2 linked regions of the Drosophila melanogaster genome follow. The protein of the gene in region 1 purifies or fractionates together with the protein of each later gene. This does not show direct contact. Each region holds a gene or a part of one and is shown on either strand. Other genes may lie near its edges. The genes, in order: Slmap and Tlk.

Region 1 (8,291 bases):
TGATGCCAGACCGGGCTTCAGTCTGGGCGCCACACTACTACTGCCAGGAAGAGTCTTTCCTTTCCTTCGGGATCCAAGGAGAGTAGCCGTTGAAGGCAAATCCACTCGAACGGCGACAGTATCGATAATCCCGTATTTTAGCTGTCTTGTAGAGCTGGAAAAACATTGATGTTTACCTCCATCGATGTATCAATACATCGAAATTTTTAAGGGTGTTTTTTAATGTATTTTAGTCATTATCATATTAAAAATGAATACCAAAACTAAATCAAAATGGGTAAAAGTTCTTTATAAATTTAAAATTCATACTTTGGTGTTTTTATTGCCTGAAAATCAAAATGAAACTTAAAACTACTTTCTCGTCAAACACAAAAATTATAATGAAAAATGAATTCAATTTAAAAGAAAATAAAACAAACATCGATAAAGCTGCAAACTATAATTAAGATATGCACTCATTATACCCGTTACTCATAAAGTAAAAGGTTATACTAGATTCGTTGAAAAGTATGTCAGGCAGAAGGAAGCGTTTCCGACCATATAAAGTGTAAATATTCTAGATCAGGATCAATAGCCGAGTCTATCTGGCCTCTCTCCGTATGAACGTCGAGATCCCAGGAATTTTAAAAAGCTAGAACACAGAAAAAGACGCAGCGCAAGTTGGTTGACCCATGTTGCCACGCACACAAACCTGCCAGCCCCACTCTAACGCCCTAAAACCTCCCAAAAATGCCGCGCAAAACACACATTTTTAAACCTTTTTTCGATATTTTTTTCATAATTCTATTAGTCGCTAAAATTTATATCGATATGCCAAAAACTTTTTACACGCCTACTCTAACGACCAAAAGCCGTCAACCCGGTCACGCCCACAATTTTGAACAATTTGTAAACTTTAACCGTTGCATGCTCTAAAGGTTAAAGTATTGCCTTCAAATCCTCGAAAATGAATATTTTATTCGATATTTACGGCAATAACCAACCCTTTGAGAGTGTTCAGTCAAAGACACTACAATAATTCTTTATTATTCTAGAGACTTTGGTTCAGTAGAACAGTTGCGATAGCAACCTTTGTAATCAAAAATCGTTTCAGCAGGTAAAACGCGCCATTCCAACTGGATTTTCTATACATATATATTTTATTTTCTATAACCTATTTCTATTGTTTCAAACTATATGGGCGTTCATCAATTACTGTGCGGATTAAGTTTGCAATGTTTTCAGAAAAATAAGTTGTTTCGTCGAAATCCGAATCCGCGCAAGTCTGAGCCAATGTAGTAGCGTAGAGCACTTGTTTTCGATTCGTCAACGTTTCATTATTTTGTCAATAAATGACAGAATTGACTGCTGTTGCCTTTGTGGCAATTCACTGACTGTTAAATTAATATGTATCCTCATTACGTGGCAAGACAAGTTAGTATTATTCGCACTTGTTTGGTGTCTTGCCCCACTTAATACATTTGTCTGTCTTGCCATTAGCCGATTAGCTTAGCAAGATCTTTCCCTGCAAATGGTGATGGGTAAAACAGAAAAATCTAACATCGATGTCCGAAAATTTCGATGTTTCCGATTTTTTTTTAAATATCTATGTAGCGCTATCTCCGATGTTTCTTCCAGCTCTATTTTGTAGTTTGCGAGATCACAGCCTTCAGTCAGACAGACCGGACCTGATCGAATAGTGTTTATGATCAGGAGTACACTATACTTTAAGGTTCGGAAACACATTTTTATGCCGACTACAAACATACCCTTAACCTTTCTAGCATACGACATTGCTCTAAAACATTTTAAAATTCCGAAATCTCCTTTCTTATTATAACAATTTTAGAAAATTATTTGTTTCTTTTTATTGGAAATGTAATTGCAGAACATTTGTATGCCGACTACAAACATACTCTTAACCTTTCTAGCATACGACATTGCTCTAAAACATTTTAAAATTCTTAAATCTTATTTCTTATAAAAATTTTAGAAAATTATTGTTTGTATTTATTGGAAATGAAATTGCAGAATGGAATGGTTCTATCGTTGCATGTCAACATAGAAACTGGTATATGGTATATAAACTGGTATATTGTATATTATTATATACAATAATGCTTAGCGCTTTTTTCATCGTTCCGTGTTCATCACCAGTTGATTGTCGCTATTTTGACGGAAATATTTTAAGTATGCACACAAATTTACCGCGAAACCAGGTGTTTTTGTACAACAATTGTTCAAAGTTAAAGAAAACTAAAAAACACGGGTAGAAGGTTGCAACAATTAATACAGGAAAATTACAAAATTCCAAGGTAAGCCAAGCGTGCATTGTAAAATAAAGGTAAAAACGTTGCGCAATATCAAACATTTATATTATTGCGAATTTAATGTTCTTGAACTTAAGCGGTCCTCCCCGTACCATATAATTTATTTTTAAATCAAAAAAGTAAACAATTTCCAACCGTTCCAAACATTTTTAATGCCTGGTTTAAGTTGTCGTAATTAATCGGCACATCCTTAACTCGAAAATTGCTTAATTCATAAGAATGACCAACTAATGGCATAGTTTTTTGTTTACAATAATTCTTGAAAACATTGCTATTGAACGTACATATTTTTGTATCAAATGCAAATTCATTCTGTATGTATGTATGTATGTATGTATGCATTTACATATGTGTGTATATCTTATGTGGTCGGAAACCTTTTCAAATTTTCATCGGGAAAAGACAAATTTTATAGTTACATTAAATTAAAGCAGGCCTTTAAAATTTGGATTCATTGTCAATGTTTCGGCTAGTCGGATTTGTCAAACAGCAGCCACTCGTGTATTACTAATTACTAACTTGTTAATCCGCTTTTGTTCTCGTATCCCCAAAGGTTTGTTTGGATGTAAAGTAATGGTCTTGGTGTGCAATGAGTGGTTAAAAAATAATGTTGATGAAGACCAGACGTCAAGTTCATTATCGCCGACGCCAGCATCAGGAGCAGTCGGATCAACGGCATTAAACAGAACTGGCACAACCGACACGGCCACGGAATTACCTCAGACGACCAGATATCCATCCGGGGAAGAACCTGCTGTGAAGCCAGAGGAGGCGCAATACGCTTTAAACATGGAAACTGAAAAAAATTTGGAGCAGGACAATTTCTTTCATATAATGGACATAAAAGAAGATATGGCTGATAGTAACAACGAGGCGTCCACGAAGAACCAGGAAAATAATAATATGGAACTTTGTGATTCCAACACAGTATGTATTGACCGACGTCCGGCTGAAGTTTCCCAGCATGCTATGAATATGGCCATGAACTCTGTGCTGAATGCAAATAACACCGGGGTTGGAGTTCGAGTAACTACTGCCTGCAGTCTGTTTAGCCCACTAGGAGTACTAAACAATAGTGCTTTACAAAGGGAGGTGGCATCGGAATGCGGCACTTTACAAGTCTCTTCAGTGCCCCCAACTTCTGGCGTAGATCTAGACATAGGATTGGAGTCTGCCCCAACGCCATGTAAGGGTGCAGCAAAAATCGTACTCCTATGTGAACCAAAGTCGCACAAGTTTGAAACGAGATCTATATTGCTGCAGCCCAACCAGGATTGCAAGGTGGGCCGCCTTATAGCTAAAAGTAAGGCGGGTGAGGGGAACGCTATATTTGACTGTAAAGTATTGTCAAGAAACCATGCGATTTTGTGGTACACTCCAGACGGTAAATTCTGGGTCAAAGACACAAAATCCAGCAACGGTACCTTTATTAACGACAACAAGTTGGGTAGTGATCCAGCGGAACTACATTATGGCGATATTGTGAAGTTCGGCGTTGAGGTAATTGAGAATTCACGTCAGGAGGTACACGGGTGTATCCTGGCCCGTGTCGCCCTCTTTCTACCCAATGGACAAGAGGCCATTTCAGTTGAGGCAGAGCAGATGATGTTGACTGTGCCTAACCGAATCAGCTTTGATGAAGTGCAGCGCCTAAGCTCGTTCCTCCAAGAGGCTGCACAAAGGGAAAAATCTCTGAAAGCTAAATTAAGCAGCTTGCAAGGCGTCCTTGATAACACCAGAAAGAACTCTGCGATGTGTTGGCAAAGCATGATCACTGAAGACCAATTGCTTCACAAGATAAATATTCTGGAAAAGAAACTGCAAATGATGGAAAAGAACATTCCAGAGAATGCACTGCGAAACGAGGTAAGTCCCATTAGCGACCGATTAAAAAATTAAGCCTTTGTTTATTTTTTACAATTTTATCCTGTGATCCTGGACAACTATGAAAGCAAGAATACTGGTATTAAGCATGAAACTAAGCAAAACCTCAAAAACCTTTCACACGAACAATTAAAAAAGTTTGTTCATAAATACGTACACACCTTTCCGTTAGCCTGTATAACGGAATCTCTAAAAAACCATTTTTGCACACTTGTGTTTTCCTTTTAATTTAAAGATTTCAATATGCAAATTTTTAATAAATCTGTTTCCCAAACCGGACAAGATAAAATAAATTGAACCAAATCTTATAATGAATTGTCTTAACTACAAACATAATCAAAATGTTTAATGCACAAAAATTAAGCAAATCTGAATCTAAGCAATTTAATTCGGTCCCATCAAATTATATCTAGTGGTTGTGCCTTTAAAACAAAGCAGTATATAATGGCTTTAGAGTTTCATTTTGTTATTCATTCATTGATTCCTTCATTTTTATTATTTGAATACGCATTAATTATAATCATTTGTATAAGGTGTATTGTATTTTAATTGTGAGCAAATGGTATTTTGGTGCCACCGATTGGTGCCAGTGGAGTAATTTGTTATACATATTTTGTAAACGTTACTTTTTATTTGTTTCTAATTTTTAGGTTAAAGTATATTTTCTCTTTTTTTCTCAGTTTTTATATAACAGAAAAAATAAATCCTTAAACAAATTGTGCTTTGCTGACCCAATCCTCACATTTGATACGAACAGATCATTGCTATTATTTTTGTACAAAATAAGGGACTCCTATTTGATACCAAAAGCTGTTTCCCACCCCACACTTTCTAATTTACAGAATTAAAAGAGTTATATTCTAATGTATATACAGTTTGTCAAGAAACTGTTTACACACTGTGAAATAAGTTGAATTTTTGACTTTAAAGCTAAAAATAAAGGGTTTTTTGCTTAATTAAACGCAATTTTTTTATAAAATATAATTAAACAATATTTATTTTACTTATAAATCAAAAAACAAATTAAAAATATTAAATATACAAGAAAATAAACAACAAATTCCAAGTTTACACACTTTTGAGACTGTCAAGAAACTCTTTACACATTTTGTTTTCCTACTTTGTTTTGTTCTTTTTCTTAGAACGAACTCGATTTTTCCGTTATTTTTGGCTTTGCATTGCTTTTTACAACGCTTCTATTGAAATTTTGTTGACTTTGCTTGTGAAATTTTGCTGATCAAACGTGCTTAAAGCGAATTATTAAATTTAATAAAATGCCTGGAAAGAGATTAACTTTTAAAGTTACCCAATTAATAAACTATAACCACCAGTTGGGAAAATCTTTTCCAGAATTAGTATAAATGTTTCCTGTATCCCGTAAGACCGTCTACAATGTTTTAAAAGGCTCGGAAAAAGAGGGCAGGCTTGAACCTAAGAGTGGTGGTGGGCGGAAAATTAAAATTAAAAAGCGTGTAGACCGCTTTATTATGCGAATAGTGATTGCGAACCCCCGAATCTCGGTCAGATCACTTGCTCTGGATATCAGGCAAGAATGTCACCTAGCTGTGTCACACGAAACTGTGCTCCAAGTCATCCTACGCCATAGGTACTCTTCAAGAGTTGCAAGGAAAAACCCTTTGCTGTCAGATGCCAATATTGAAAAGCGTCATTTATTCGCTGTGAGCATGATAGATCATGCGGAAGAGTACTGGGATGACGTCATATTTGGTGACGAAACAAAAATGATGCTCTTTTATAACGACGGGCCAAGCAGAGTATGGCGCAAACCGTTGAGTGCGCTAGAAAAACAAAATATCATTCCAACGATAAAATTTGGAAAAATGTCACTGATGGTGTGGGGCTGTATCACCAGCCGTGGAGTGGGAAAACTAGCCTTAATTGAGAGCACAATAAATGCCGTGCAATATCTAGAAATGTTAGAAAACAAATTTGAAGGCCAGTGTAGAAAAAATTAGTCTGGTTAGCAACAACAAGCCAAATTTTAAGTTTTACCAAGACATGATCAGAAACATAAAGAGTGCAATGTACGCACCTGGCGCCTTAATAACTGTGGTAAAGTGATCGATACGCCCCCTCAGAGTCCTGATCTGAACCCCATTGAAAATTTGTGGACCTACTTAAAGAAGAAGGTGGCAAAAAGGGACCTAAAACACAACAACAGCTTATGACTGTAATAGTCGAAGAGTGTGAAAAGATCCCGTTTGAATATGACCTGCAAAAACTTGTCCAATCCATGAAAAAAAGGCTTCAACTTGTAGCTAAAGCCAATGGGGAACATACTACATACCAAAACTTTTAAAATTTTAATAAAATAATTAAAAAATTTAGGATTAAACTTCGATTTAGTGTTTTGTGTAAAGAGTTTCTTGACAGTCTCAAAAGTGTGTAAACTTGGAATTTGTTGTTTATTTTCTTGTATATTTAATATTTTTAATTTGTTTTTTGATTTATAAGTAAAATAAATATTGTTTAATAATATTTTATAAAAAAATTGCGTTTAATTAAGCAAAAAACCCTTTATTTTTAGCTTTAAAGTCAAAAAGTCAACTTATTTTACAGTGTGTAAACAGTTTCTTGACAAACTGTACATACATGTGCTCTAGGGCTCTAAAACAAAGAACTCATACAGAACGGTAAAAATACAGATAGGCAAGCAAATTGAGACCATACGAATATGCGATTTTAAACTTGTGCGTGAAATAAGACAAAACAACAAAAAGGTACCGAATACAGGAAATATTCTATAGCTCGAAAATTCAACCTTTTAGCTTTTTGAAAGAAATTAATATACCCTTATAAATGGGTTTAAAAAACTCGAAGAGGACCTTTTTCCGACTTAATGGTCAGTAGCTCCTTTGAATATTAAAATTTTGTCTGCAAAAAATTTTAAGTATATTTTGGTAAAATTTGATTTTTTTTTTTTAATATTTCTCTCTTTGTCTTCAATAGATTGTAAAGCTTCTTGAGGACAAAACAACGTACCAGTTGACTGCCAAAGAGGCCCTGCGGAAGGTCTACCAGGAACGCTGCGATGCTATGCAAATGCTCTCTAAGATGGAGATGGCCTACGCCACTTCTGAAAACGAGTGCGGCATACTTCGCGCTCAAGTTCTAACACTAAAGCAGACGCTGACTGATTTCAATACCCGGTTAGAGGAACTTCAGCAGGAGTACATGGAATTCAAGAAGGAGTCAGTGCGCCAAGAACAAGAGGCTAAAGAGCAAGAATCACGCAGCTTAGAGGTGCTAAATGGAAAGCTGACGACGCAGGAGCTCGAGCTTAAGGAGCTTCGTCTGCAGGTCTCGCGAATCCATCGCGATTTATCTGAGTCTGATACTGAACATTTGAAGGAGCGAATTGTCTTAAAAAACTTAGATACAATAAATCTTGACGATTATGACCACGCTCAAGATAGAGCGCTAAATGAAAGGGATGATAATGAAAGTTCTGACGATGATATTTTGTCTGTGTCACCAGCTAAAAATGTGTTGTCTGAAACGAAAAAAAGGGTAATGCTTATAGCAGTCTTAATGCTATTATATATTAATATATTCCTATTTAATTCTAGAAGCTAAAACTAAGTAATCCCGATTTAGAAGAAGGCAATTATAAATCGAACGTCTTAAGATTGCTAAAGAACTCCGATCTTGGCAAGGGAGAAGAAGGATCTTCAGTGCTTAAAGCTATTTTTAATGGTGACGATGAAGCCTTTGAATGCAAAGTTAAGGAGGAGGAGGATATGGCAAACGATTCAGTTCCAACAGAGTTCGTTAGCAGAAATACATCCGAAATCGTGGATCACTTTAAAAACCATTCTTCAACTACACATACAATTTTAGAGGATTCGGCTGCAACGAAATTGTCAGCCCCTAATGCGGAAAGTAAGGAAAAGCTTGTAGACGTTGAGGAAAATCTTAATATTCCAAATGCATTACCGACGGAGCAGGCAATTGATATGTTACAAGAGGAATGTGATACGTACAAGAAAAAAACAGCTCATTTAACAAGTGAAATACACTTCCTGCAAGGACAAATTGAGCTATTAAAGAAGCAGCTTGAGAAAGGCGTTGATCACA
Region 2 (5,287 bases), on another chromosome or scaffold:
CTAAAAACCGAGTTCTTTGTGTTGCCAACTAAAAATCGATGTACATATGTATGTATGTATGTATTTACATGTGGATATGGGAATATTCCTACCATATTATTTCGCTCAGTATTTTCGGGTTTTGCTTCTCAGTTTGCTCTTTATTTGCCTTAGCGCTGCATTGTTTGTTCTAATTAAATCTTATCTAAACAATTTTAAGCACAAATTGTTTCAATGGCAATAAAAAGTAGAAAAAATCACAAAAGCTCGGCGAGAGCTCACAGCAAAGTCGAGGGCAATGTTCTAAAGCAAAGGCTATATAATAAGCGCACCTCGATAGATTTTCCCATACCCACTATACATACATACATATATTGTACATTTGGTTACAAAATAAAATAAAAAAAAAAGCAAACTGCAAGATAAGGGAAGGGGAGAATCCGAGGGGCACACAAAAATGTGAGAATCAAAATCAATAACTCAATAGGCATTCGAAAAGGAAAACAGAAATAAGCGCAAAGCGAAGCAGATTCGTTCAATAAATAATGCGTATACGCTTCTATATACATATGTATGTTACATATACATACATACATTTTATATATATGTATGCCGATTTACAGGGAAACAAACGGGTTGTGTTTAACCCACAGCCAAAAGGCAATCGAAGGCGGCTATCCTGACTTCTGGCTTCTCAGTCTTGGCTTTTGCTGGCTGGCTCTCCGTTCGAATCGACTGGACTATGACAGTCAGCCGATAAAGATGATCGGGCCTAAGAGTCGGTCAAATAATGTCGGTGGTTGGCAGGGGTGGGGTGTGTACCCTGAGTCGAGTTGAGTCACCAACTACACTACATGCCCCATGCTCTAAACATGCGCTCATCCCCAGAATCGTAATTTGTGCCTCATTTATACACACAATTTCAATGACAAATCGATTGAGGTGCTCAGTTTGCCGATTTCTGGTTTATATTTATAAAACCGATTGGTAATCTACGCGGAATGGCAAATACATACATACATACATACATACATACGTTTAGAAGGAAACACAAAATCGCAAATAGCGCTAATCAAGTTGGAATTGCAACAAACCCCATAATTGAATAAGATTTGTATTGTACATACATATATTTTACAAATGTATATTTATGTTTTTTTCTATGCCTTTTTGGTAGTACCTTGCTGCTACCTTGTTGGAAATATATGGGGAATGTGGCTCCGAGAATACACAATCTCTGGTGTATTCCCCACTTTTTCAGCTGCTTCCTCTGCATTCGTTATCTTTCTCTTTGTGTACATAATATACTTGCTTTCACATACATATGTATGTCCATACATATATGTTTGTATATGTACGTAACACATTTTCCCGTTGATAAGAATAATGAAGTTAACTTATAGAGCCATTCCGTTTCCGATTCAATCCGCAGTTCGATTCTTCGCTTTTTCATCACTTAATTCGCGCTTTTTTATTACAATAAATTCCATTTTTTTTTATCAATTTGTATAAATAAATGTCCTACGGATTTAGAAAAACCAGTTCTGCTGGCTTAAGCGATGATTTTATAATGTTTTTCAAGAGCGATGAATTATGAAACTGCAGGGATAGTATAGGATGTATGTATGTATGAATGTATTATGCCCCATCTTTTCGATACCTATTTATTTAGATCTCGCTCTTTTCTCTGCCCTCTTGAATACCTCTAAAAATAAACTAATTTCCCCTGCAGTTTCGTTTTAATTTTATTTTTTTTTAAGTCCTAAACAATTCCATTCTGCTAAGAATTGAAATTTTTGTCAAGATTTCTCACCTATGAATGTACACATCATGGGTATTGGATGTATTCATGAATGCTAGAAAAAAAATGTAACAAAATGGGGAATATTATTCATTCCAACAGATGCGGTAATGTTTCTGTTCTTGCTCCCTTGCCTTGTTTTTTATTTACTTTTTTTTTGGCAATTTTCGGTTTGTTTTGCTTTGCCGGGTATATTTATACATTTGCGATAAACAAAATATGTATATTCACGACGACAATGTCGATTACCTCATATGAAATATTTGACTCGGCCAGCAAATAAGAAGCGTATTTAACAATATGACACGCCCCTCGCCCGTCGTCTGGCCCAAACGCCCAATCCCAATAATATCGGTGACTTATGCTTAACTTTGGAAGCCTAATAATTCAACACAAGTCCATTTAGAATTAATTTTCGACATTTATTTTTTGAACTTTGACATTGTAATGTTTTCACTGAGGATTTGATAGGGTATTCAACTTTTCGTCTTTTGCTTTCAATCCGTCATTCGTGAGTTTTTATTTTGTGCGAATTTTCTGTTCTGTCGCCTTTTATTATTATTACTACAGTTTTATATATTTTTTTGTGTGAAGCGTACTCTGCCGACGTCGCTGCCACTGCCAGCGCTGTCGCTTTGACGATTTGCGCTTTGCGTTGCGCTTACTCACAATCAAATCTCACGCCGCATTTTTAGTCTCAATAATAACTGAAACGAAAAACACGCGCAGCCGAAACGAAGCGCAAACCAAAGAGTAAAGCGAAAGAAGCAAGGAAGGCAAACGGCGAACAAAAACGCAAAACGAAAACGACGACACGTCGTCAAACGTCAGTTGCCTTTTATTTATTTTATTCCGCCACTCTTTCCTCTGTGTCCGTTCATTTTCTTTTGTTCAATTTCTTTATTTGCGAGTGTTCGTATGTGTATGAATGTGTGTGCTGATTGTTTTTGCATTTCGCGTTTGCTCAAATAGTAAATTAAACTGTTTTTAAGTTATCCACAAAAAAAGGGTCGGGGAGGGTGTGAAAAATAGAGGAGACGAGAGCAACTCGTTCTTCGTCACTCGCTGCGTTTTTTGTTGTCGTGGGTCGCCGTCTTTTCCACTGACTGGGTCGCTCTCTTTCTCTCTTATCCCCTTCTCACACCTCATTTGCCTGTTCTTGTTATAGTTGTATTTGTTGGTTCAGCATAATTAGACGACTCTGCGAGAGTAACAGTGCTGTCAGTTCAACGGTTTTCCCCGCCAGATCTAATTGTAAGACAAATTAAATTTACCATTAGAATTTACATACTTTTATTGGCGTCGAAATGAAAAAAATATTAGGTCGATTTTGTTATACAAACCGATATAATTGTTATTTCTATATAAGATATGAGCTTCCAAATCCATCCATATTTTTTAAATATTTATTCCAAATGAAGCACATAAAATTATATTGAGCAACACTATTGCTCTCCACTTTTCATTGTGCTGTTTTGTTTTTGGCCCTCTTTGCCTCTCCCACATGAGGTTCTCTATGTTTTTTTCGCCATTGTTGTGTTTCTACATTCGCGGCATGTTAATTTGTTGATTCTCGTTCTCAATGCTTTTTTGTAGGTTTCTTTTGTTTTATTTGTCATACTCGCCGTTTGTTATCAAAAGGGAAACAACAAAAGGCCAACGACAAGCAAAGGCAAACAGATAAACGTCGAAAGCTTGTCGCATATTTAAGGTATTTGCCTGGTTTCATCTCATAAAGCTTTTAAACATTCTAACTAGTTATGCTTTCCATTCGTTCCGTCTTCTTTTTTCTAATTGATTACGCGATTTTTATAGAATTTCTGATCGGAAATGCCGAATTAAAGTCTAATTAGGGGGGTATGCAGAAAATGTAGAAAATGTATTTATCAAATAATTTTTCTTATCTTTTTCGGTTGACCCAGATGATTGAAATCGTATAAAATTCTTTTAAATCTTGACTTTTAACGTGTTCGATAACATATCCCTTCATATGTTTGTTCGTGATTTTTTCAATCTTTTTTCACCTCGTCTTCTTTATCTATCAGTGTCTCTGTTTTGCTCACTTTGCTTTGCTATTTTTCTGATTGTGCGACAACTGCTTAACAATTCACAATTATGTACATACATACATATGTATGTACGTATAGATCTACAGTAAATCCTGGTATTGTATTCATTGTGTCGCCCCAAATTTTATGAATTTTTTGTAACATCAAAGACAACACAAATAGTAGATCTAGAAACTATCTACAAGATCAAAAAGATCTTTTTTGGAATTGTGTTTATTTCTTTTAGATAGATTAAATAACTCGCGTTTGTTTTGAGGAGACTTTACTGTCGTTTCGTGTGCACATCTGACTATGTAGTGTCCGTGTGTATTTGTTGATTGACTCAACTTGACGACGGAGACACACGCGCGCCCAATTCACAAAACTTTTGTTTTATACACCGAATCTTTTATTTTCTGTTTTCTTATTTGTTATGCTGCGTGATTACGTCAGCTGGCATTTGGTTTTTAATTTTCGAAGGCCTGGGAAAGCATATGCACATACAAACACACAAACACTCTCTAACTAACTCACTCATATGCAAAAAAAAAGGAGAAAACAGGTACATAAAAGTGTGTAGAAAAATTTAATCATTTTGCTCTGGCACAGTTGTTGTTGACTTGTTTCTGGTGAAAGTTTCACAAATCAAATGGAGGAAAAATCAGCGACGAATCGCAAAAAAGTGCAACACAACTCATCCATTAAAAAGTAAAAATCGCTGAAAAATCCTAAAGAAAATAAAAAAAAGGAAGAAACCAGGGAAAATTGCAGATTTGAGTTCATTGATTTTCTTTTGCTTGTGAAAATCCGAAATATGCAAAAATGAGTGTTTTACCTATGACCAATACATACGTATGTATGTACACCATCTACACCAATGACTTTATTTGTGTATGTGCAAATTTAATTTATCTTCTCCCTTAATATATCCCAAAACGAATGAAAAAAATAGACAGAGAATGTATAAAAGTGCCCACAGCCCCGCATTATTTCTCTGTCTCGTTTTTTTTTTGTCCCCCTCTCTGTCTTGCTTCATCACCTGTCATTGGCAAGGCAACCGTTAGCTTGCATTTTGTCGGCGAAGTAACGGCACAAGTATTGCCTTCTCTCTTTCATTTACAATATTGGCGAAAATACTACAAAATGATTCGATATTTTTTTTTATTAAAAAGTGTCATCATTTTCAGTTTTATTGTTCTTATTTATTTCTCCTAAAAACGTCGTAAAGTTTATGTACATACATGACCATACATATCTATTAATCCATAAACAATAGTTTTGTTGTGGCTATAATTGTGATTAAACAGCACTGAAACAAATTAATACGAGGGTTTTATTTGTTGCGGTTGCTTTCGATTACGAAATGTACATACATGTGTATGTATGTGTGTATGTGTATATGCGTTTTGTATGTGTTAACATTTGCATTCTTAACGTGAGCTGCGCAAGTTGAACGAAA

Evidence for each region.
Region 2: the proteins of Slmap (region 1) and Tlk purify together in Drosophila melanogaster (affinity purification with mass spectrometry, with the first as the bait; one large-scale study listed by BioGRID). This does not show direct contact.

The regions. Positions count from the first base shown.
Region 1 is NT_033779.5:22,576,959-22,585,249, forward strand, and holds the start of Slmap (sarcolemma associated protein), read left to right. Parts: upstream 1-2,113; 5' UTR 2,114-2,294; intron 2,295-2,791; exon of another isoform or gene 2,792-2,862; 5' UTR 2,863-2,882; coding exon 2,883-4,175; intron 4,176-7,163; coding exon 7,164-7,724; intron 7,725-7,783; coding exon 7,784-8,291.
Region 2 is NC_004354.4:3,770,429-3,775,715, forward strand, and holds the start of Tlk (Tousled-like kinase), read left to right. Parts: upstream 1-2,211; 5' UTR 2,212-2,606; intron 2,607-5,287.